Linked DNA regions of Arabidopsis thaliana. The protein of the gene in region 3 interacts with the protein of the main gene of each other region in a biochemical or structural test. Each region holds a gene or a part of one and is shown on either strand. Other genes may lie near its edges.

Region 1 (4,067 bases), on a different chromosome or scaffold from region 3:
GTACGACGCATCAAATCTCTAAGCTCGTACTTATTTGTGTTTTACTTCACTGTGTTTTGTATAGTTATATATGCCAACATCATGACTTATCACAGTTGAAATTTAGCATTTTTACCTGAAAACACAGGCTTTAGCTACTGTTGCATTTGAGTTGTTACTTTTTTGGACAATTTTTCTTTCGTTTTAGCCTTTGCTCTTTAAGAACTAAGAATCCTAGTTCTATTTATATTCCATTATCGTATCAAGATAAGCTCTCGAGGATTTTCCTGTACCTTTTAGGTTATAAAACCAGTTTCGTTTGATTCACATTTTGTTGAAAATGATGAGTCAAAATAGACATTATATTCATCATTGGCTGGGATCGGATCGAACAGTGCCTGTTCTTGTTAAAACAAATGGCTCTCAGTCATACAAAAGATGCATCTATTATTCATCATGTGTCGTGATCTTGTTATTGTCATACTATCTAATGTGACTACTCATGCTTCATTTGTTTTTGTTTGTGTTTTTGAAGTAGGTCGTAGGTCTTAAACATTTCCAAGTGAAATTGAAACGCTTATTCTTTTAGGACATTGGCATCAAGATCTCTATGTTACTTTTATAAGTGAATTAGTCTTTAAAGTTACTTTTTATTAACATTGATTCATAAAGATAACTTTTGTAAATTAGCCCATAAACAAAGATACTTGTATTGATGAATCTTCTTCGTCTCATCCTTTTACCATTATCCTTGAAAATTCTGATTACATCATTATTATGGATGAAAATTAACGAAGAGTCTTCTTTTTTTTCTTGTGATAAATTTTAAAATTATTGAAGAAGCAGAATCGGACAATTGAAGCCTAGATTATTTTTTATTTATTTTTTGCAAAATGAAGCCTAGATTCTAATATTTCATATTTTCGATATTGTACATGTGTAACTTTAAAAAAAAAAAAAAAAAAATCCCAAGTAAATGCTTGTTAGCACAATTATTATGTAACGGTCAATTATTGCTCATTATTTCACTGCCAAAAAATAACGAAAATGGTCCCATTTTATTAGAAGGAAATAAACATGTTGTATGTGTAAAATTCTTAACCCATTTTTGGACATGTACAGATTCCATGTAAAAGCTGGATTTTAAGTTGGTTTTTTGTTGTTGTCATTTAATAAGTACTATTTAATTGATTGTATTTATAGTTCTGTCTCCATGTGAAGCTGCTCATAAGAAAGTGAATGCTTTAGACTCTAATCTATGTGCCTAGTTATATCCTTAAGAAGTTGATATTTAGAGCTTATGATAGAAATTATGAATCAGCAACCATCAGAATTATTTTTTTTGTTTTGACAAATGTATTTACGTGTAAAAGAATATAAGTTTAAGAAATCTATAGTAGAAAGTAGATTAATTAACAAAAATTACTGTCACAACTCACATTTCTACAGCTTATAGGACGACGTTTTAGTTTTGGGTTGCTTTAAAAGGAAGCTAAAAACGGCAAAAAAGACGCGTCGTTTAGAATCCCGACGGCGTCTACGCTCCGTAACGACGCCGTTACCTGCTTCCCCGTGAACGGGACTCAGTTTAAAGGACCCCACTCAAAACCGGCACAACAACGGCCCATCCGCTATAGGCAAGGCCCAATAATTAAATCTCAGCCGTTGAATTAATCAACGGCTCTAGATCCTTCATCTTCCTCTCCCCCAAATACCCAAAACCCTTCCTCTGTTTTTATTAACCAGAGAAACCCCAACTTTTTCATAAACTCTCTCCAGAGAAAACTATAATGAGCTTGAGAGAAATGAGCGAAACAAAACCCAAGAGAGATTCTGAGTACGAAGGATCAAACATCAAGAGGATGAGACTCGATGATGATGATGACGTTTTACGCTCACCGACGAGAACTCTTTCTTCTTCTTCCTCTTCTTCTCTGGCTTACTCGGTTTCAGATTCCGGAGGTTTCTGCTCCGTCGCGTTATCTGAAGAAGAAGACGATCATCTAAGCTCAAGCATCAGCTCTGGTTGTTCCAGCAGCGAAACTAACGAAATCGCTACTCGTCTTCCATTTTCAGATCTGGAGGTGAAATTTCGAAACTCGAGATTACAAATTTTGAAATTTCTCTGTTTCACAATAAATGCTCTCTGAGCAAGATCTGATTACGTTTTTTTGGATTAATTAATTTTGTTTCCGTTTTCAGGCTCATGAAATCTCCGAAACCGAAATCTCAACGTTACTCACCAACAATTTCAGGTTAATTACTAAAAAAGACGTTTCAAAGATTTTTCAATTTCTTCATTGTTTCGTCTATAAATTCATAATTTTTGGAATTTCACAGGAAACAGGGAATTTCATCAAGCGAGAATCTGGGAGAAACAGCAGAAATGGACTCGGCGACGACGGAGATGAGAGATCAGAGAAAGACGGAGAAGAAGAAGAAGATGGAAAAATCACCGACGCAGGCAGAGCTTGATGACTTTTTCTCGGCGGCGGAGAGATACGAACAGAAACGATTCACAGAAAAGTGAGTCTTTTTTAGACCCACACACACGCGCATGATAGCAGAGATCCTTAACTTGCAGTTGTTTAAAACATGTATAGGTACAACTACGACATCGTCAATGATACGCCGCTTGAAGGTCGGTACCAGTGGGTTAGTCTGAAACCTTAGAAGCCATGGAAGAACAAAAAAAAAAAGAAAAAGAAGAAGAGACAGTGCTAAAGTTACACGTCCTAGTACTGTGATTTTTGTCACAGACAGAAGAATTTTTAGAGACATTTCATTGTACAGTTTTTATCTAATTTTAATTTCATCATTATCTTCATCTGTTCTTCGTACCAAGAGTTTTTTTTTTTAACTAGAAGTGTTAACATATATTTGAGTTTAATTCTCTCTGTCTCGGTGATATTGTTGGATTGTTCAACAAAAAAAGTGGGGTTACAACAATTAAAAATTGGAATTATTGTGTCAGTAAAGTTTCACTAATTTTTGTCAGTTTTGTTGTAGTGAATTTGGTGTTGTGCACATTATTAGTATTTTCATGAAATTGGGAGGATTTACGTATTTATGAATTTGGAAAACTATTTATTGTTTTGATTCTCACCTTGGATGTTTATAGAAATTGTTTTTTTCTCTTCTTTTTGTTGCTTGTACTTTATATGCTATTTTATAACTTTTTTATTTTTCTTGTTTCGACAATTGTTTTAGTGAAACAATAATGGTAATAGGAAGAAGAAAATAAATATAGATTTTAAGGAAAATGGGTAAAATTAGAAAACCATAACGGTATATATATATCATACACTTGGTATGTACTTTCTCTATAGTTCGAATGAATATTCCTCTAATTTCCTTGAAATAATTTATTTTATTATTTTATCAAGAAAACTTTATGAACAAAGTTGAATGTTTATTTATCAAAAAAAAAGAAGCAAATTTGAAAGCTTTCTCGATGATTGACGTTTTTTTTTCTTTCTGAAATTTAATTTTCAAATTATAAATGAGCTTTACGGCAAAAAATTAAAACTTTAAATGGCAAGAATACAAAAAAGGAAGAGAGAGAAGAGAATAGAGAGGATCTCATCATTACCTGATTCCGTTGGGATTATATTCCCTTTTTTTAATTTTCTTTTCTTATTTTAATTTCCTACAGCAGGCAAAGGCGCGTGACTCCACGTGCTTTCTGTTATTTTAGTTTTTCTTTTCATTTATTCTTTTTTCCTTTCCCTTATTTATGTACTTTTTTTGCGAACTGACTGTTATTATATTTTACTTAACAACACGAATTTAAATTTGAAAAGAATTGAAGAAAATAAAAATAGTGCGATTAAGGAAAAAAACTAAATAATAATGTACGTCATAATTAGGTTACCTCTTCCAACAAGCCACGTGACGAGGGAAGGGTATTTTAGGCATTGTACTCACAAAGTAGTGAAACATATAATGTTGTGACTTGGTGACCAGGCAAATGTAAGTTTTGCTTTCTATTCTAACTGTTCCTATCCTGCCAGGTCAAATTTTTCACAATTTTTGTTTAAAAAATAACGAAGAACAATAAAACTCTAGTGAATATATATATATTAGTT
Region 2 (8,151 bases), on a different chromosome or scaffold from region 3:
TGTCAAAAGTTCTTCAAGTGAAAGAAAAGTGCTATTTGATACCATCTTAGTTTTCTCTCTTCAGTTATTAACTATTTGTAGTAGTGGACTATTCGGGAACAACTCATTTCTAATGAAATTTTAAAGCTTGGCATTATGTAAGAACACATATATATTTCAGATTAGGTTTTCGTTTGACTGACGAGAAACAAAATAAAGAATGTGCAAGAAAAATTGGTATACAAATTATTTAACTATTTTTACAAAACTGTGTAATCTTCCAAACCTAATTTCAATGATATTATACTTCTGGTGACGTGAACGTTCTCGTAAAACAAAAAACAAAAATCATCGAAATTATACTTACGGACAAAGAGTTATGGACTATCTATTTTGGAAGGAGAAAAAGAGAACCATCAGAAATTGCCTACAAGAGAACCATCAATGATAAACTCAGATTTTGACTTTTGTACCCGAAAGAGAAAGAACCATCAATGAAACTGCTTGCGCGTTAGTCTCCCAATATTTTTCCCAGCTTTGATGTTTCCTTAAATTCCTTTTTGGGCAAGGTTACAAAGAACTAGGCTATGCTATATTGTATAATCTAAGCTTTTCACTTTGATTGATTTCATATCAAAAAAAAAAAGAAAGAAAGAAGGAGCATATGTGATGTAATTGGAGAGTTGTTTAGACTAAGAGAAAAATGTATTCAGTGGAGGCTAAAGAAATTCTTCTCGAAATCTGATGCAAAACCCATAACTGAAAGAAAAGAAGAAGAAAGAACTCTTTGAATTAGTTCCCGAGCCAAAGATCATATACATAACCAGAATTACGACGAAGGAGTTACGGATGTTTAGGACGAGAGCCAAAGATGTTCTAACAATATGTAACCAAATGAAGACTTTCCAAATATTAAAAAGAGCCCTTATGAGATAAAAAAAAAAAACTTTGTTGGCCTGTTTTTCAATGCCCAAATATAGCGATCAAGATTTTGAGATGAAAGTTATGACCATTAAAGGAGTATATATATCCAATTGTCCATACTAGCCAGCGACCGTGAATGCTGCCCAATAACCAACAAGCCAAAATGACCATTGTTTACAAATGTCTTTCTCATTTGCTGTTTTCCGACAGATAGAGTAAGTGTATATATAGAATAGTACTGAAAGAGAGGGCCGGGGGACTTATATACGTTTTGAGGAAAAAGATAAACAACATTAGAGTAAGAGCGAGATATATACACTTATATAAAGTCATGTCTATAAGAAAGTTCAAATCCAACTTAAAAATATATACTCACAACAAATAAAAGTTACATCACTTCGATTATTTAGAGTTTATAAAACTAATTAGAAACCGAACTCTTTTTTTCTTCAAGGTCGTGTTTTGGTTTTAGGCTTTTAGCCCTAATTTACAGGTCTTTCTAAGGCTAAATCTACTATAAAATGTAATTGCATGCCTAGGGTTCAAACATGAAGTCTCCTCTCCCTCAAATAATGTCAACTTGGAAGACAACACGATTGTCTCCCTGTATTACATGTCTACCGAGAATAGATGTACAATGTAATTTCATGGATTATGTTTAACCCGATAATAAATTGGTGTGGGATGTAATGATTTATTTTCTTTAATTTAAGAAATTATAAGAGTTGACACAATAAAAATTAGAGAAAAAAAAAACATGGCTTTTCTTTTTACTTTATTTATTTACCCTGCTTCAAAACACAAGAGAATAAGAGAAAAGTGTATTTTGAAACGTTTTTGAATGTTAGTTTGGTTTTGTTTGATTTATAGTACTGTTTAACATCAGAAAAGACAAATGAGTTTAAAAAAATAATACCAAAAAAAGAATTTACTAGATACAATTTTAAAGTGGAAATATTTTTAATAACTTGGATCCTCGTCTAATTTATTCATAACATTTATGTGATATATTATATATATAGGAAATGATTTATTAGATAGTTGACTAAAACTATATATTAGATGCTATTATTTGCATAATTCATATAGTTATTTATTATGAAAAAAGAGAAGAATAATCAGTTATGTAAAAGTAGAATTTTTTTTTTTTTTTTAAATGTTATCGGAAAAACTGTATACAGTAATAAAAAAGAGAAAAAAAAAAAAAACCATATCTTTGTCGATGGATTAAAAACAACATTTTCATTACGCAGCGCTTCTTCGCCCTCAGATTCTTCTTCACCTTGAAAGACCATTAACATCATTCCTTGCCCAGATCCAAACAATGCCATCTCCACTCTCTCTATTTAGGGTTCTCTCCAACTTTTCAAATCCCTAATTCTTGCTCCCTCCCTTCAATCAATTCCGATCATCATCGAGGTCTCTCTACTCCCCGAATTTAAAGATCAGAGCCGCGACTTCCTCTGCCTTCTTTTCCTCGGAATTTTTCAGCTACGTTTTCCAGGTGGTGTGTATTGTCAATCAGTTGACCTTTGCTTTTGTAGCCAGATCGTTCGTGCTTTGAGTTTAGGGCTCTTTTACAAGGTTTCGTGTTGGTGGAATTTCTCTACCTAGGTTTGGGGGAAGAGTTCAGTAATTTCGTTGTAGATCGTGATTTGGGCTTTTAGGGTTTCGGTTTACTGGTTGCTGGAATTTATGGTAGCGTTATTGAATTCGGACTCTCTGCATGTGTAAGCGTTGAAGTTTGAAGTTTCACCGGGTTTTGTTTCTTCTGCTGAAGAGTCGAGATTATTTTACGCATTAAGAATCGATTCAGAAGGTTTTTAGGAATTAGTTTCTGTGGATTGTAACTATATAACTACTGGGAGGGGATGTTTGGTTCTACATTGGATAGCAGCCGTGGAAACAGCGCTGCCTCAGGGCAGCTTCTTACTCCGACACGCTTCGTGTGGCCTTATGGAGGTAGAAGAGTCTTCCTAAGCGGATCTTTCACCAGGTGAGATGACTGAGCTTGAACTAGGATAGTTTACTTTATATTTCAGTTAAGCTATTTATCGGGGTTTGTGTAGAGTATGTGCTCTGTATAGTATCTATCGGGGTTTTGCAGTCCATGGACTGATTTCTGAAATGGGCATTTGAACAGGTGGACAGAGCATGTGCCAATGTCACCGCTCGAGGGCTGCCCTACTGTTTTTCAAGTCATTTGCAACTTGACGCCAGGATATCATCAGGTTAATAATCTTGTACTCGACCTGTATCATGGCAAATTCTTTGTTAATTAATCCCTGCAGAAGCATTTATGTCCTTGTAGTGATTTAGCGATGTCCATAATTGTGCTTCATTTAGTCTCTGGATACTTAACCTATGCAATGAGAATCTTATATACCTCTGTCATATTTGTATGACTGTGGCTGAAAATTGCAAATTTCCTTGCTAATTGATCAAAATTTGACTTTATACATCACCATCCACATAACAAAAGTTGGGGTCTTCATGCTGTGTGATACCTAAATCACTTCTTTTAATAAAGGCTACAGTGTGTGTATAGAGATTCATATATTTTGGCAGTTGGATGTACTATATATAACAAGATTTTAATTATTACAATGTGAGATGCTTAAGAAGCCACTAATGTTACATTTATGTTATTTCATTCTCATGCAGTATAAGTTTTTTGTTGATGGGGAATGGCGGCACGATGAGCACCAACCATTTGTAAGCGGAAATGGTGGAGTAGTGAATACAATATTTATAACTGGGCCAGATATGGTTCCTGCTGGTTTTAGCCCAGAGACACTGGGCCGGTCGAATATGGATGTGGATGATGTCTTCCTGCGAACGGTAAGGAATCTGACCTTTCCTTTTCCAAAATGCAGTGTTTATTCTCGCTGCTTGATGGTTCAGGTTTCCCGAGTTGCTTCCAGTTTGGTTTCTTTAATTTTGATCCGTGGTTGGTATCCTTCAGATTATTTTTAACTGTTTGTCATTAGTTCAAGTATAATTGATTTTAGACCATTTTATCTTAATGTATAAAGCAGGATTCCTTAAGTTCCATTAAATTGTCTCTGAGACTACATTCAAATTGAGTTTCTGACTGCTTTCACATGGTGATTATATTGTAGGCTGACCCGTCCCAGGAAGCTGTTCCTAGGATGTCGGGGGTTGATTTGGAGCTTTCTCGTCACCGCATATCGGTTTTATTGTCAACCCGCACTGCATATGAGCTGCTCCCAGAATCGGGCAAGGTTTGGTTTCTTTTTCTTTTTGCTTGATCATTGATAATTTCTGTCTTCATGTCCTATAGATTATCAGTTAAGAATAACCTTTGGCTTCTTACTCGGAAATTGTCTAAGGTGATTGGAAATTTTACAGGTTATTGCATTGGATGTTAATTTGCCAGTGAAGCAAGCATTCCATATACTCTATGAGCAGGTTTACTTTATTTGCCAATTACCCTTGTGTCAGCTTCTGTTCTTGTTAGGATGTTCATCTCTCTGTCTCTCACCGTCATATAAACATTCTAATATTGTTGCATCCAGACCCGGAAAGGGAAGGAAGTGAAACTTAAGTGAACAACATTCGTCTAATTATACTTCGAGATTGTTTGGCTTTCTGGTTTTTGCTAATTCCAGATGCTTTCAGGGAATCCCTTTGGCTCCTCTTTGGGACTTTGGAAAAGGCCAATTTGTTGGAGTTCTTGGTCCACTAGACTTCATTCTAATACTGAGAGAGGTTGGCTTCTATTAAAACTGTTCTTTGCTAGAGCATTCCATCGAGTTACTATTGTATATTCTTAGAATTTCCAAGACGGAAGTCTGGATATCTCATAAATCACATAGTTTTAAATGTTTTACTAGCTTCTCAGTATGAAATTTCACTCTTGAGTATAATAGCAAATTTGTAAAATTGCAGCTTGGAACTCATGGATCAAACTTGACAGAGGAAGAGCTTGAGACGCACACAATAGCAGCCTGGAAAGAGGGGAAGGCTCATATTAGCCGGCAATATGATGGAAGTGGGAGACCATATCCTAGGCCACTTGTTCAGGTGAGATTTTCACAGTTGATTTGTATCGCTGTTACTACTAACTTTCTTCTGTTTGCGTAATCTCTGAACATAGCCTTATCCTAGAACTTTCTATTGCATGTTATATTGAAAAGAGCTAGTAGTATTTCTCTCTTGCTATTAATGGTTTTATATATGGCTATCAGGTTGGACCCTATGATAATCTGAAAGACGTTGCCCTGAAAATTTTGCAAAACAAGGTGGCAGCTGTTCCGGTTATATATTCTTCTTTGCAGGATGGTTCATATCCGCAGTTACTGCATCTTGCTTCGCTATCAGGCATATTAAAATGTAAGGTCCCTTCATTTGTGAATAAGACACTGATAAGCGCGCCAATTTGGCATTTCTCACTTTTTAATTCATGACGTGCATATGATTCTGCTATTTCCAAAATTTTCCCACTTCTTCATTTCTCCAAATTCTGTGAAGGGATGGGATCTTTAGGAGGGAGGGAAATTAGAAACTAAAGTTGCAATTGACTTTACCAAACTTTTTACACAGTTTTCCCTGTTAATAATTCCTTTCGAAATTTATGCCTTTATCAGACACTTAAGCTCTAAATTAAGCATAATCTTCCAGGTATATGCAGATACTTTAGACATTCGTCTAGCTCTTTACCTATCCTTCAGCAACCCATTTGTTCAATTCCCCTGGGTACGTGGGTCCCTAGAATCGGAGAATCAAGTAGCAAACCTCTCGCTACATTGAGACCTCACGCCTCTTTGGGTTCTGCGCTCGCATTATTAGTTCAAGGTAATCCTTTTTCTTATCTTGTTGCAGCAACATCTTATTCAAAGCTCATCTGCAACTCAGACTATCAACCTCTACATTACAATCAGATTTTCAGTTTTAAATATTTTGTCTAGATGGTAATATAATCAAGTAGCTGAACACATGGGTATACTCAAGTCAATGCAGACCAACAAACCAACTTTAGATGTTACGACCACTTTTATTATTTTTATACAGATGTAATTGCTGCAACATGAGTAAACTAACGAGGTTTAAAAACATAGAAACATTTTTGTCAATCTTAAAGCAGATATATTTATAGAATTTCTCGTGATCTTTTCCCTGGTTCCTCATAGATGGAAATGAATGAATGAGTCATGCTTAATTTATGTTTCCTGGTTATTACAGCTGAAGTCAGTTCAATTCCCGTAGTGGATGACAACGACTCGCTTATTGACATATACTCTCGAAGGTAAACCTCTATCCATCAATCGACATGATGTCTTATGCATTCCATCTTTGACGTCCTTGTGTTCTGATGATATTTGTAATTGGCCAGTGATATAACTGCTCTGGCTAAAGACAAGGCATACGCACAGATTCATCTTGATGACATGACAGTTCACCAGGTAAACCTCTCATCAGAAACCAAGATCCATCACATGTCTCATCAAATTACGAGTTTTACTTAAATGTAACCTGCCTATCTATCATGGAAATTGCCTCGTTTCTGATTTATTTGAACATACATCTTTACAAGAATGAAAGAAGAGATGAAACGTTATAATAAAGTGGAGGATAATGTGTTTGTGGGTTTTCAGGCGCTACAGTTGGGGCAAGATGCGAGCCCGCCTTATGGAATCTTCAACGGGCAGAGATGTCACATGTGCTTGCGCTCAGACTCTCTTGTGAAAGTGATGGAGCGGTTGGCGAATCCAGGTACACACTATCTCCTATATACAATCTTCAGCTTTGTTGCTTGACACAGGAACATCAGATGAGATGTAACTGGGGTTTGGGTTTGTGTATATAAAACACAACAGGTGTAAGGAGGCTGGTGATAGTGGAAGCAGGGAGCAAACGTGTTGAAGGTATCATTTCACTGAGCGATGTTTTCCAATTCCTGCTCGGTCTTTGACTCCCACAGCAAAACAACCTCCCCAACCTCTTTTTCTCATTTCCCCTCAATCAAAACTACCCAACAATTTGCTTCTTTTTTTTTTTTTTTTTTTTTCTTCTTGCAAGGAATTTGTAAATTTGCTACGAACCTCTTTCATCATTGTTTTCTTATTATTTTTGTTGTTTTAGTTGAACGGGTTTCCATTCTTGTGAAGATATTGGCTACCGGAATCTTTTACTAGTAGCTTCCCTCAGCTTTTTCTTCCCTCTTTTTTTTTCCATTTTTTTTTGGTTTTGAGTTTTTCACTTCATCGACTCGAAAAGCAACACAGCATGAGAAGGCCGTAGAAGTGTAGGACAATGCACTGGTTGACAAAGATGAATTGTCACCAGCGAGAATAAGCCTTATGGTTGAAGTTTGCAAGTAATGATTAATACAATTACAATCATAACGAATCATAACCTTAAGTACAATAACAAGTAAAAAAGTACAATGACAAGTAATATTCAGTAATGGTTAATCGAGTGATTTGATCATAGCATTATCGATTTCTTTCGGATTTTTCAATAGCTCTTAAAATATATCAATAAAAGTAATACAAAATTCAATCAAATCTAGTGACACTAAAAAAAAATAAAAAAATCTAATGTCATTTAAAAAATATTTGAGCAAAAAAAATAAAATCTAATGTCATTAAAAATAAGTGTTAAATAATTGATGACATAATAAGTGATAGAGAAAAATGTATTTACTCTATTTACTTATTTAGGCTTATCCAGACAATAAACGTTTTCGTTTTTCCAGTCCAACAAGTTTCTTCATCAACTCTCTCAACTGTTTTCGACATAAACATTCCAGAAGCTGAGATCAGATACTAAAATGGCGGAGATCGGGAAGACGGTGTTAGATTTCGGCTGGATAGCGGCGAGATCCACGGAGGTCGATGTCAACGGCGTTCAGCTCACTACCACCAATCCTCCGGCCATCAGTTCCGAATCTCGGTGGATGGAAGCCGCCGTACCTGGAACGTAAGTAATAGTGTTCACTTTCCTCTTCGAAAATTTGAAGCTATTAATAATCAAAGTAAGAACAATTGTTTAAGTATTTGATTTTGTTCGAATGTGTCTGTCAAGTTTGGATTTTGCCTTGATAACTAATAATTAATTTTCTTCTTCTTATGAATCAGCTTTTATTTATGTAAATACCTCTAATTGTTTCATGCATGAATGAGAGATTTTACTGATATAGGATCTTAATTGTGAACAGTGTATTGGGCACATTGGTGAAAAACAAAGCAATTCCGGATCCTTTTTATGGACTTGAAAATGAAG
Region 3 (6,242 bases):
ATGGTGCTGCAATAGCAACAAACATTCAGCAAGGAATAGATCCAACACAATGGCTAACTGAGGCAGCCCCGGAGCCCGAAGATGTTCATTGGCCATTTTTCACTGCATCGTTTGTGAGAAGATGGATCTCCAATGTAGTGGTGCTTGTGGCTTTCGTAGCTCTTTTGATCCTATACATTGTCCCCGTTGTATTGGTTCAAGGTCTTGCTAATCTTCACCAGTTGGAGACTTGGTTCCCTTTTCTAAAAGGAATATTAAATATGTAAGTAAAGCCCTATTTAGATAAAGATGGTTCTTCGTTTCAATTGAACAATTACAAAATCTTCTTTTTTTTCTTATGATTGCAGGAAAATCGTGAGTCAAGTGATTACGGGATATCTTCCGAGTCTCATTTTCCAGCTTTTCCTTCTTATAGTACCACCCATTATGCTTCTACTTTCCTCAATGCAAGGATTCATTTCTCATAGCCAGATTGAGAAATCTGCATGTATCAAGCTTCTAATCTTTACTGTATGGAACAGTTTCTTTGCAAATGTACTGTCCGGATCTGCCCTTTATCGTGTTAATGTGTTCCTTGAACCTAAGACTATTCCTCGTGTGCTTGCTGCAGCTGTGCCAGCACAGGTAAAGAACACAAAATTCAGTATTGAGGTTTCCGGAATTCCCTTTTCGTACCACGAGTCATGTTTATTGTTTAATCTTTGGTGTAGGCATCGTTCTTTGTATCTTATGTTGTGACCTCTGGATGGACTGGTTTATCATCAGAGATCCTCCGTTTGGTTCCTCTTCTTTGGAGTTTCATAACGAAACTTTTCGGCAAGGAAGATGACAAAGAATTTGAGGTTCCTTCAACTCCTTTCTGCCAAGAAATCCCAAGGATTCTATTTTTTGGACTCCTCGGTATAACTTACTTCTTCCTTTCGCCATTGATACTGCCTTTCTTGTTGGTCTACTATTGTCTTGGATATATCATCTACCGCAACCAGGTAACGGAACCAATCTCACTCCTAAGTATAATTCTCTGTTGATCTCTGATAAAATCATATAGGAATCAGCTACACATATTTTCGTTATATGGAATCTCACTTTTATCTTCTCTTTATATGTGATCCCTTTTCTAAATTCTCGAATAGCATCTTTAAACCGAAAGTATTTTTTGGAGCTTCAGTCATGACATAAACGTTACATCAAGAATCCATTTTCTCGTCACATAATTCTTTTTCTTCTTAATGAATCCATTGCAACTTGTTGATAGAAATAACATCACCTTTTTGTGCTGCAGCTCCTAAACGTATATGCGGCCAAGTATGAAACTGGTGGAAAGTTTTGGCCAATAGTTCACAGCTATACTATCTTCTCTTTGGTACTAATGCACATTATTGCAGTCGGATTATTCGGGCTTAAAGAGCTTCCAGTGGCATCTTCTTTAACAATTCCCCTTCCGGTTCTCACGGTCCTTTTCAGCATTTACTGCCAAAGACGGTTTTTACCAAATTTCAAATCTTATCCTACCCAGGTAAAGGCTTTAGAGAAATAGTTACTCATATTTTTGATCCAATGGAAGAAAAATATGGCTAGATAATCTTTTATTCCTAACCTAAACAAAACAAACAGAACATGATGCATAGTCCTTTATTACATTACAGCATCTACTCTAAACCTTTATATGGTGATGATGGATGTTTTACTTTTGCAGTGTCTGGTAAACAAAGATAAAGCAGACGAGAGAGAGCAAAACATGTCTGAATTCTATTCGGAACTCGTTGTTGCTTACCGAGATCCTGCACTTTCGGCATCACAGGACTCGAGAGATATCTCACCTTGAGATCACCTTTTTACTTGAGCTATTGAAGTTTGCTTATGTTGAAGCTGTTGGTTTACTATACCTGGTGCAATCCATGAAAGAACACACTAAACCGGTTGTCTTGTACATTGGGTCTTAACCGAGAATCAAGCGGTTTTTGTCTTGTACATTTGCTTACACTTGGCTTGTGTAAAAAAGAAAAAAAGTTTATGTCAATGTATCTCTCTAAACCGGTTTAAGACGGTACAAACTTTTTGAAAGATGCCAAAACAAAACGGTGGTTAATAATTTTACCACAGAGAATATTTAGCAAAAAGATGATGACTAGATGCCACGTCCGCATGGGGGTATATATTGTAATTAGTCGTAACTCTGGGGGTAATTTAGTTAAAGATTGATCCGTTTATGGAACCAAAAATCAAATAATTTCGTCTTTGATACTTGCTTGCGCCTTATAGGCTACAGGAGCGAGAGCAATGAAAGCGAGAGGAAGAATCTATCAATAATTTCTGGGTTTAAGCTGATCTCTGGATCTTCCTCAATTTTACTTTTTCAGCTCAGAAAATTTTGGGACTTTTTTTTGCTGCATTTTTTGGTTCCGAATTTTCTCCTCCGCCTTTTTTAATTTTTGGTAAGTTTCGATATCTCTCAATTTTCTTATTTCGGAAATAAAAAAAATTCTCGCCCTTTTGCAAATCAATGGATTGATCTTGAAATCGTCATTTCTGAATCGGGTACGAGAGATCCAGTAATCCTCTGCGATTGAATTATTATTAGGGTTCATATTCCGAATTGGGGATAGTCTGAAAATTGCTATTTTAAGCTCTCTTCTTAGTGTTGGTTGGTTTATTCTGGATAATAAAAGGGATCCTAATTCTCGCTAAATTCTCATGTTCAAACGAGTAGATGAGTTTAATTTAGTTTCTTCAACGATCGATCACAGAATCTTCAAAAGTGTAAAAATTACTTGCTTTTTGTTCCTATTACTCTTTTGCAGTTTGTTTTGTGTGTTGTGTACTAGTAGATCTAATATCTCTCTCTCTTTTTTTGTAGAGAATGGATGGATCAGGCACAGGCAGTAGAAGTGGGGTAGAATCGATTCTACCAAATTACAAGCTTGGGAGAACTCTTGGTATTGGTTCCTTTGGTAGGGTGAAGATAGCTGAGCATGCATTGACAGGACATAAGGTTGCTATCAAGATCCTCAATCGTCGCAAAATCAAGAACATGGAGATGGAGGAGAAAGGTACAAGTTTTGTTTTGTGTATCCATTCCACCTTAGTTGTGACTTCACGGTACTCTTGGAATATATAAATATATAGCTTCTTTTTCGTCTTCCTTCCTTTGAACTTATTTGGTCTTTGATGCAGTGAGGAGAGAGATCAAAATCTTGAGACTATTTATGCATCCTCACATCATCCGTCTCTATGAGGTTATAGAGACTCCCACAGATATTTATCTTGTCATGGAGTATGTGAACTCTGGTGAGCTATTTGACTATATTGTTGAGAAGGGTAGATTGCAGGAGGATGAGGCGAGGAACTTTTTTCAGCAGGTATGTTTTTATTTTATTTTATCAACATGTAACTTTCCAAGCAACCATTCGATTTTATATTATATTTGAGAGTTAAGAATTAGCTACTTGGCTTTGATGTAGATAATATCAGGAGTGGAATACTGCCATCGAAACATGGTGGTTCACAGAGACCTCAAGCCTGAAAACTTGCTTTTGGACTCTAAATGCAATGTAAAGATTGCTGATTTTGGCCTGAGCAACATAATGCGAGATGGTCATTTTTTGAAGACAAGTTGTGGAAGTCCAAATTATGCCGCTCCAGAGGTAAGTGCTTCAGCCCTCAGGTATCTGAGGAATACTATAATTAGGCTTGTTTCAAATGATAGGTTATAGTCGAGATCTATAAATTGTTTCAGGTAATTTCGGGCAAGTTATATGCTGGCCCTGAAGTAGATGTCTGGAGCTGTGGTGTGATACTCTACGCTCTTCTCTGTGGGACGCTTCCATTTGATGATGAAAACATTCCCAACCTTTTTAAGAAGATAAAGGTACATTCTATTACTCCTCCTCTTTCGTCTATTTGAACTAATGCTTGAATTTTTTATTTTATTTTTCGTATCACCCTTCGACTGTAACCTTTTTTTTTTCTCTTTTCGTCCTATAGGGAGGGATATACACATTACCTAGCCATTTATCTCCTGGTGCTAGAGATTTGATCCCCCGGATGCTTGTAGTTGACCCCATGAAACGAGTAACCATCCCTGAGATCCGGCAACACCCTTGGTTCCAAGCTCATCTTCCGAGGTATTTAGCTGTTCCTCCTCCAGATACTGTGCAACAGGCAAAAAAGGTAAGCCTAACGTATCTACTCTTATTTTCATTAGAGAAATCTCTATTCCCATTTTTCGATAAAGGCGTAAAAGCGCTGTCTTCATTTGTAGATTGACGAGGAGATTCTCCAAGAAGTTATCAATATGGGATTTGACAGAAACCACCTCATCGAATCGCTCCGCAACCGAACCCAGAATGATGTATGTGTTTCCCACCCACTTGTTCTTTTGCTGTTTCTTTCATTTCAAAGATTAAAAAAAATTCCATCAAAAGATCTTAAATACTGTATTCTTACCGACTGTCTTCCAGGGCACTGTGACGTACTATCTGATACTGGACAATCGTTTCCGTGCCTCTAGTGGTTATCTCGGGGCTGAGTTTCAAGAGACCATGGTTAGTCTTTTTTGTCCTTTTCGACTTTAGCAAAAGATCTTTGACGTAATGCTTCATTGTTTGATTTAATCAGGAAGGTACTCCCCGTATGCATCCAGCAGAAAGCGTTGCTTCACCTGTTAGCCATCGGCTTCCAGGACTGATGGAATATCAAGGAGTTGGCTTGAGATCTCAATACCCTGTTGAGAGAAAATGGGCTCTTGGACTTCAGGTTTTGATATTTTCTGTATTTATGGTATAAAGACTTCAGCTTTTGATATATATGTGATTAATATTGTAACAATTTGATCGCACAGTCTCGGGCTCATCCCCGTGAAATAATGACGGAAGTCCTGAAAGCCCTGCAAGATTTGAATGTATGTTGGAAGAAGATAGGGCACTACAACATGAAGTGCAGATGGGTTCCTAACAGCAGCGCAGATGGTATGCTCAGTAACTCGATGCACGATAACAACTACTTTGGAGACGAGTCCAGCATAATAGAGAACGAAGCAGCTGTTAAGTCGCCCAATGTTGTCAAGTTTGAAATTCAGGTAAATCCTCTTCTCCACTTCATGATACATATCGGTTTCCCGTACGACATTGTTTCTGATGTGTGATTTCGAGTGAAAGAAAGCTTTGTGTATTAGTGTCCATGGCCATTTTTGTAACTGAATTAGAACTAGAGTGAATCTTCATGAATCTAACTATCAATCAATATTTTCTGGGCTTGATGACGTTTGTTATTGTTGATGGTGAAACAGTTGTATAAAACTCGGGACGACAAGTATCTACTGGATTTGCAGAGAGTACAAGGTCCTCAGTTCTTGTTCTTGGATCTGTGTGCTGCTTTTCTTGCTCAGCTCCGAGTCCTCTGAATACTAAACCGGACCTCTTCAAGAATAATCCCCACTTATTCCTTTTTTTTTTTTTTTCTTATTCGTCTAAGAAATTATTTAGAAAACGTAACCCTTTTTTTCTTCTTCTCTTTCTTTCTATTTCTATATGCGTGCTCTACTCAAATACCTCTTTTAACTTAAATGTAAGACTGAGCAAGAGTAAAAAAAAGACACTTTGTACATAACTTGTAGTGCATCATGCCACCAAGATTGATTTTTGTTTTTGTTTACTCCATATTTCTTATGATTAAAATCAATAAGTTAAGGGAAAGACATTTTGACAAAAATTGAAGGAAAGATGTTTAAATTAGTTTCATTGAAAACAAATTAGCAAATTCAGAAGTAGTTGTTTTTGTTTCGTGTATTATTTGATGGGTCAATATTACACTATATTTTTTGTGTAAACAAATTAGCAAATTCAAAAATAGTTGTTTTTTGTTTTTGTCATCCTACTAATATTAAGACATTGAAAAACGAACATTTAGGATGAGCTTGATGTGTTTATTTCGAACTAAGATCCAAAAACTATACAAACTCAAAAACAAGCCCAAAAAGAATTTCAAAAGTTTCCAACGTGTGGTTTTACCTACCAGTTAATCTTCTCCTGCAAAAAAAAAAAAAACACATCAAGTGTGAGATAAACTCTCACAAAAATACAAGGAAATTTGTAATAATAATAAAAAAAGACACAATTATCTTTTGGTAAACCTGAAATTGAATAATTTCACACTGACTTGGGCTTTTTTTTTTAAATGAAAAATTAAACAAATATGGACTACAAATCATGATGGTAGGTAAAAAATGTATATATATCTTTGGC
Region 4 (5,049 bases), 9.8 Mb from region 3:
GCCACTTTCAATGCATAAAATCAGTTTTATACATGGACAAGTGGTATGCAATCCCTCCAAAATGAATGAGAGAATCCTCTTTTTTTTTTCTTAACCACTTTGAAATTAATTAAGTATATTTTTAACTTCTAAATCCTCCCCATCCAACACCATTCCAAAACATATCCATTTAGAGTCGAAGAATTATCTAACTATATTATGTGGCTGGCCAGAAAAAGTTTAATTAGTTCCGATTTAATATGCAATCTATTATATTGAGTTTATATTAGGGCCTGAGATAGTTTTCTAATAAAACAAAAGTCAAGTAAGTAATCAAATGAAATATAGCTTCGATTTACTAAATTATACGTCATTTGTGATATAATGAAAAACGTTTCATGGATAAGTGGCAACTATTCTCTCCAAATTTAGTGAGTGAATTTTTCTTTTTCTTTCTTTATGCACTTTTAAATTGTAATTAGTTGTCAAATATCGCTTGACTAGTTTTCATTCAAAAATCATGAACTATCAATCTATCACTATAGTTGTAAGCTAAAATTCATTATACATATGTACACTAACATGAGTAACTATTTAATCTTCTTTTTGTTTTCGAAAACTCATTAGTCATTAGAGTTTTAAAGTCATGAAAAAAAAGAGAAAGAATCTTTTATTAAATTTGGAGAGAATAGTTGCCACTTGTCCATGCAAAGAAAACAAAAAATATCAAAAACGTTTTAACGTCACGTATTCTTCCTCACCCATACTTTCCCCTAATATATTCGTGCAGAGTCGAAAATTATTTTAGTATATTACTAAAATTGACAAAATCGTTACTTGATTATCATTTAGTAACGCCCTTATCAAGAAAAATGGAAAGTAGAATCGAACAAAATATTAATTAAATTCAGGAAAAATATTAATCGACCAAACATATACAGTATGGTTTTTTTGTTAAAGTTAAATCATAGAAGAATAACGAAACATGAATTGCAATTTTCTAAGAGTATGCATCTAGTTAAAACCCATGGAAATGTGTTATCATGTCGATAATCAATCATTCGACGAATTATAGAATATGGCATATAAATGGTATTTGTTAGTAACAATGACAACAATATATATAGATGATAGATAAATTTGTGTCAATCTAAGTTGTATATACTAACAAATTATAAATACCATTACACATTTTTCGTCTGTTATTCGTCGAATATTGATAGATTAACGAAATGATTACACATTTCCATAGTTTTAACTAGATGCATAATTTACAAAATTCAATTCATGTTTCTTTATTTTCTATAATTTAACTTTAACAAAAAAAACATATTTCTTTTGTCGCTTTTTTTTCTTCTGAAATATAATTAATGGAGTACTATATTGTTCCATTCATCTTTCCATAATTTTTTCTGATACGGGCGTTACTAAATGAAAGTCAAGTAACGATTTTCGTATGGGAGTTTGATATTCTAGCTTTAAGCTATGAGACAAATGTGCTATTTCAACCTAAGTCAAGTAATCTCAAAGGTACAATGAATCCTTCACTTCTCTTCCAAATCAGTTATCGTCTAAGTCTGTAGAAACAAAAAGCCTTTATTCTTGGTCGCAAAAATGTTCTTTATCCCTAAAAAAAAGTCGTAGAATCTACGTATATACAAATCACATGTTGACCAGTAAGTAATGAGAGTTAAATTGACTTTAAAACTAGAGTTAAATGTGGTAGAGAGAGAGAAGAAGACGCCATTGAATTCTGGAAAAAAGGAAAGAAGCAGAACTTTTGCTACACTTGTTCACCATGCACAATCCACTCGTCCCTTTGCTCTTGGTTCTAAACTTTAACCTAACCTAATCTCTAAACTATGGTTGAGTGTTAGTTTAGTGGCATTAGATCTTGTTGCGTTACTATCATCATAATAATCTTATCAAGATTTAGAAAATCTTAATCTTCCAAAACCCTAGATTCATGAATGTAGGTTATACAAATGTCACTTCCTTACCATAAATAGTAAAACAAAAATCATTAAAAACCAATGGTAAACCCAAATCTCTGATTGCCCAGCGTCCATTTTAAGCCTCTGTTTCGATCTGCACAACACACATACACACAACACAACACAAACCACAGTCTCTCTTTCTCTCTCTATCTATCTTCTCTTTCTCTCTCTATCTCTATCACTGAAACCCAAAGAGATCCACCATTTGTTCTTTTTTCCTTCACACAGAGAACTGTTTTCTTCCACACTTCCTTTTTACTAGGCAGTGTTAACCAATTGAGAGAGAAAAATGATGGTTGATGAAAATGTGGAAACCAAGGCCTCTACTTTAGTGGCAAGTGTTGATCATGGGTTTGGATCCGGGTCGGGTCATGATCATCATGGGTTATCGGCGTCTGTGCCTCTTCTTGGTGTTAACTGGAAGAAGAGAAGGATGCCTAGACAGAGACGATCTTCTTCTTCCTTTAACCTTCTCTCTTTCCCTCCTCCTATGCCTCCTATTTCCCACGTGCCAACTCCTCTCCCCGCACGTGTAAGCTCTTCACTCTTTTTTACTATTTTCCCTCTCTCTCTCTCTCTCTAAATATTATTAATTCAAAACTATTTTTTGTTATTTTTATAAGATCTGTGAGGATCCAAATAAAAATAGATTTAGAGTTTTGTATATTTTTCTATTGGATTGGTTTTATTAAAAAGATTCAATGTATATTGTGATGATGTCAGAAAATTGACCCAAGAAAGCTAAGATTCCTCTTCCAAAAGGAACTCAAGAACAGTGACGTCAGCTCTCTCCGACGTATGATACTCCCGAAGGTGATCTTTGATTATATATGATCATGATGATGATTAATGATGTTGGTGTTGATATGATAACTAATGATGATGATCCATATAGAAAGCCGCGGAGGCTCACTTGCCGGCACTTGAATGCAAGGAAGGGATTCCTATAAGAATGGAAGATTTGGACGGTTTTCACGTTTGGACCTTCAAGTATAGGTACTTTTATCATTTTACTCCTAATCAATGTTATGTAACAAAGCATAGCTTATATAGTTGAATCAAACTATTCAGTTACAAAATTGGTTAGCAAGAATTTCAAAATTGGCTAGTACGAATCTATAACGGATAGGTTATATCTGATCTTAAGATCTACATGGATAATTCTTGGTAGATCAATCATTTTGAAAGTATTCATGTATCCATGTCGATCTTAAGACCTTTAAAATAGCATCATTTCATTTAAGACTAAGCTAAAGTAAATGAGATCGTTAGAAGAAACCATAGATGTTTGAGTCTTGGCCTAATGTTGTGATCATTAGGTACTGGCCAAACAACAATAGCAGAATGTACGTGCTAGAAAACACAGGTAAAGTTACCGACAATCCCGGTTTTTGTTTTTTTTTATGATAATAAAAAATCGAATCAATGATTGTTAAAAATATTGGATCGAGCTGGGTATTATTTCCAGGCGATTTTGTGAATGCTCATGGTCTGCAGCTAGGTGACTTCATCATGGTTTACCAAGATCTCTACTCAAACAATTACGTACGTTACACGCTACTAAAAAGAAAATTCTACAAAACGTGTTACATGTTTAGGCTCAATTTTATTTATTTATTTTTACTTTAGGTTATACAAGCAAGAAAAGCATCGGAAGAAGAAGAAGTAGACGTAATCAATCTTGAAGAAGACGACGTTTACACAAACTTAACAAGGATCGAAAACACTGTGGTTAACGATCTTCTCCTCCAAGATTTTAATCATCACAACAACAACAACAACAACAACAGCAACAGCAACAGCAACAAATGTTCTTACTATTATCCAGTCATAGATGATGTCACCACAAACACAGAGTCTTTTGTCTACGACACGACGGCTCTTACCTCCAACGATACTCCTCTCGATTTTTTGGGTGGACATACGACGACTACTAATAATTATTACTCCAAGTTCGGAACATTCGATGGTTTGGGCTCCGTTGAGAATATCTCTCTCGATGACTTCTACTAGATAATCAATCGATGGGCTCATGGTATTCTTGATGGTGATCAGCTATTTAATATCCTTATAATATATATAAGAATTAAATGCAATTTGCATATATATTATCAAGTGTTGAATATAACATTACAGTTTATATGAAAATCATAGCTAGATGTGAGTCATGAAGGTGTGTTGTATTTGATGAATAAATGTTATTTAGTGTTACGGCGTTAATATATTATTAATCCTTTAAAGAAGATTTATGATACTAGTTTTCTTTTTATTGGAGATTATTTGTTTGTCTTGCAAACGTTAATCATTATATATACTAGAATTAAGGATTGAAATTTTTTGATGTTAAGTTTAGAAACAATTTATGTTGATAAAATCATTTTATGCTAGTAAAGTTTGTATTAAGCTACATCAATCTTATATATATAATCCCACACATTGCGTAGGAAAATTTAGTTATCACTAATAAAAAAAAGCACATAATTTAGAACACCTCAACTAATTGATAAGTAGGTAGTTAGTTACTATATATTTAATCAAAGATCAAAATGTGACAGTTGTAGTACCATCTCCTTATAAAAGCTATCTTACTGCAATAATCTTGTACCTCAAGGTACCCAAGATTTCTCATTCCTTCTTCTAAGTATAGTAATAAAGGATACCATGCTTTAAACTTTTCGGGGACTATTAAACTTCGAGGTTGTCAATTGATTAAAACCTTATACTGAACTGAAGTAACACTCCGTCTTATCTAGGAGACCTAGTTACCGCAAAAAAATTATTTTCTTTAGTAAATACTCGATAAAATTAAAGACCACTCTATTGGATTATAAACTTTATTCATGTCTGTTTTAATCGTCATATAATTTCGTCCCTAAACCATGAAACATCTCTTGTGAAATTAGAATATTATATGAAAGTAATATTCTTTAGATAAAAGCCGATTGTGTTTCCGAAATAAGATCCGATAGGACTTTTTAAGTTTTTGTCATAGGAATTAAGATATTATTTTCTGGGATGTAACTGGTTTAAAAAAAAGAAGAGATATTTAATAATACCTCATATGATCAAGCAT

What was found.
Region 1: of the proteins of KIN10 (region 3) and ICK5, one has a biochemical effect on the other in vitro, tested with the Arabidopsis thaliana proteins (one study listed by BioGRID).
Region 2: the proteins of KIN10 (region 3) and SNF4 form a complex in vitro, tested with the Arabidopsis thaliana proteins (2 studies listed by BioGRID).
Region 4: the proteins of KIN10 (region 3) and FUS3 form a complex in vitro, tested with the Arabidopsis thaliana proteins (one study listed by BioGRID).

What each region holds. Positions count from the first base shown.
Region 1 is NC_003070.9:18,364,277-18,368,343, reverse strand, and holds ICK5 (Cyclin-dependent kinase inhibitor family protein), read left to right. Parts: upstream 1-1,599; 5' UTR 1,600-1,769; coding exon 1,770-2,063; intron 2,064-2,181; coding exon 2,182-2,234; intron 2,235-2,319; coding exon 2,320-2,505; coding exon of another isoform or gene 2,506-2,509; exon of another isoform or gene 2,510-2,582; coding exon 2,583-2,652; 3' UTR 2,653-3,008; downstream 3,009-4,067. UniProt on the Arabidopsis thaliana protein: Binds and inhibits CYCD2-1/CDKA-1 complex kinase activity. May target specifically CDKA-1.
Region 2 is NC_003070.9:2,898,836-2,906,986, reverse strand, and holds SNF4 (sucrose nonfermenting-like protein), read left to right. Parts: upstream 1-2,124; 5' UTR 2,125-2,774; coding exon 2,775-2,899; intron 2,900-3,046; coding exon 3,047-3,134; intron 3,135-3,567; coding exon 3,568-3,744; intron 3,745-4,025; coding exon 4,026-4,148; intron 4,149-4,275; coding exon 4,276-4,335; intron 4,336-4,545; coding exon 4,546-4,635; intron 4,636-4,815; coding exon 4,816-4,950; intron 4,951-5,114; coding exon 5,115-5,259; intron 5,260-5,547; coding exon 5,548-5,721; intron 5,722-6,108; coding exon 6,109-6,172; intron 6,173-6,259; coding exon 6,260-6,329; intron 6,330-6,521; coding exon 6,522-6,639; intron 6,640-6,743; coding exon 6,744-6,838; 3' UTR 6,839-7,211; downstream 7,212-8,151. Other genes in the region: AT1G09010 (glycoside hydrolase family 2 protein), read left to right, coding at 7,700-7,848, 8,087-8,151.
Region 3 is NC_003074.8:30,596-36,837, reverse strand, and holds KIN10 (SNF1 kinase homolog 10), read left to right. Parts: upstream 1-2,350; 5' UTR 2,351-2,694; coding exon 2,695-2,760; intron 2,761-2,857; coding exon 2,858-3,050; intron 3,051-3,174; coding exon 3,175-3,359; intron 3,360-3,461; coding exon 3,462-3,644; intron 3,645-3,736; coding exon 3,737-3,868; intron 3,869-3,984; coding exon 3,985-4,170; intron 4,171-4,261; coding exon 4,262-4,351; intron 4,352-4,460; coding exon 4,461-4,544; intron 4,545-4,617; coding exon 4,618-4,755; intron 4,756-4,840; coding exon 4,841-5,077; intron 5,078-5,287; coding exon 5,288-5,401; 3' UTR 5,402-5,657; downstream 5,658-6,242. Other genes in the region: HYP1 (hypothetical protein 1), read left to right, coding at 1-262, 348-624, 711-986, 1,283-1,516, 1,697-1,825; AT3G01085 (Protein kinase superfamily protein), read right to left, coding at 6,016-6,026. UniProt on the Arabidopsis thaliana protein: Catalytic subunit of the probable trimeric SNF1-related protein kinase (SnRK) complex, a central regulator of cellular energy homeostasis, which, in response to seemingly unrelated darkness, sugar and stress conditions, activates energy-producing pathways and inhibits energy-consuming processes.
Region 4 is NC_003074.8:9,852,965-9,858,013, reverse strand, and holds FUS3 (AP2/B3-like transcriptional factor family protein), read left to right. Parts: upstream 1-1,801; 5' UTR 1,802-2,265; coding exon 2,266-2,508; intron 2,509-2,699; coding exon 2,700-2,789; intron 2,790-2,871; coding exon 2,872-2,972; intron 2,973-3,295; coding exon 3,296-3,342; intron 3,343-3,444; coding exon 3,445-3,521; intron 3,522-3,605; coding exon 3,606-3,989; 3' UTR 3,990-4,186; downstream 4,187-5,049. UniProt on the Arabidopsis thaliana protein: Transcription regulator involved in gene regulation during late embryogenesis. Its expression to the epidermis is sufficient to control foliar organ identity by regulating positively the synthesis abscisic acid (ABA) and negatively gibberellin production.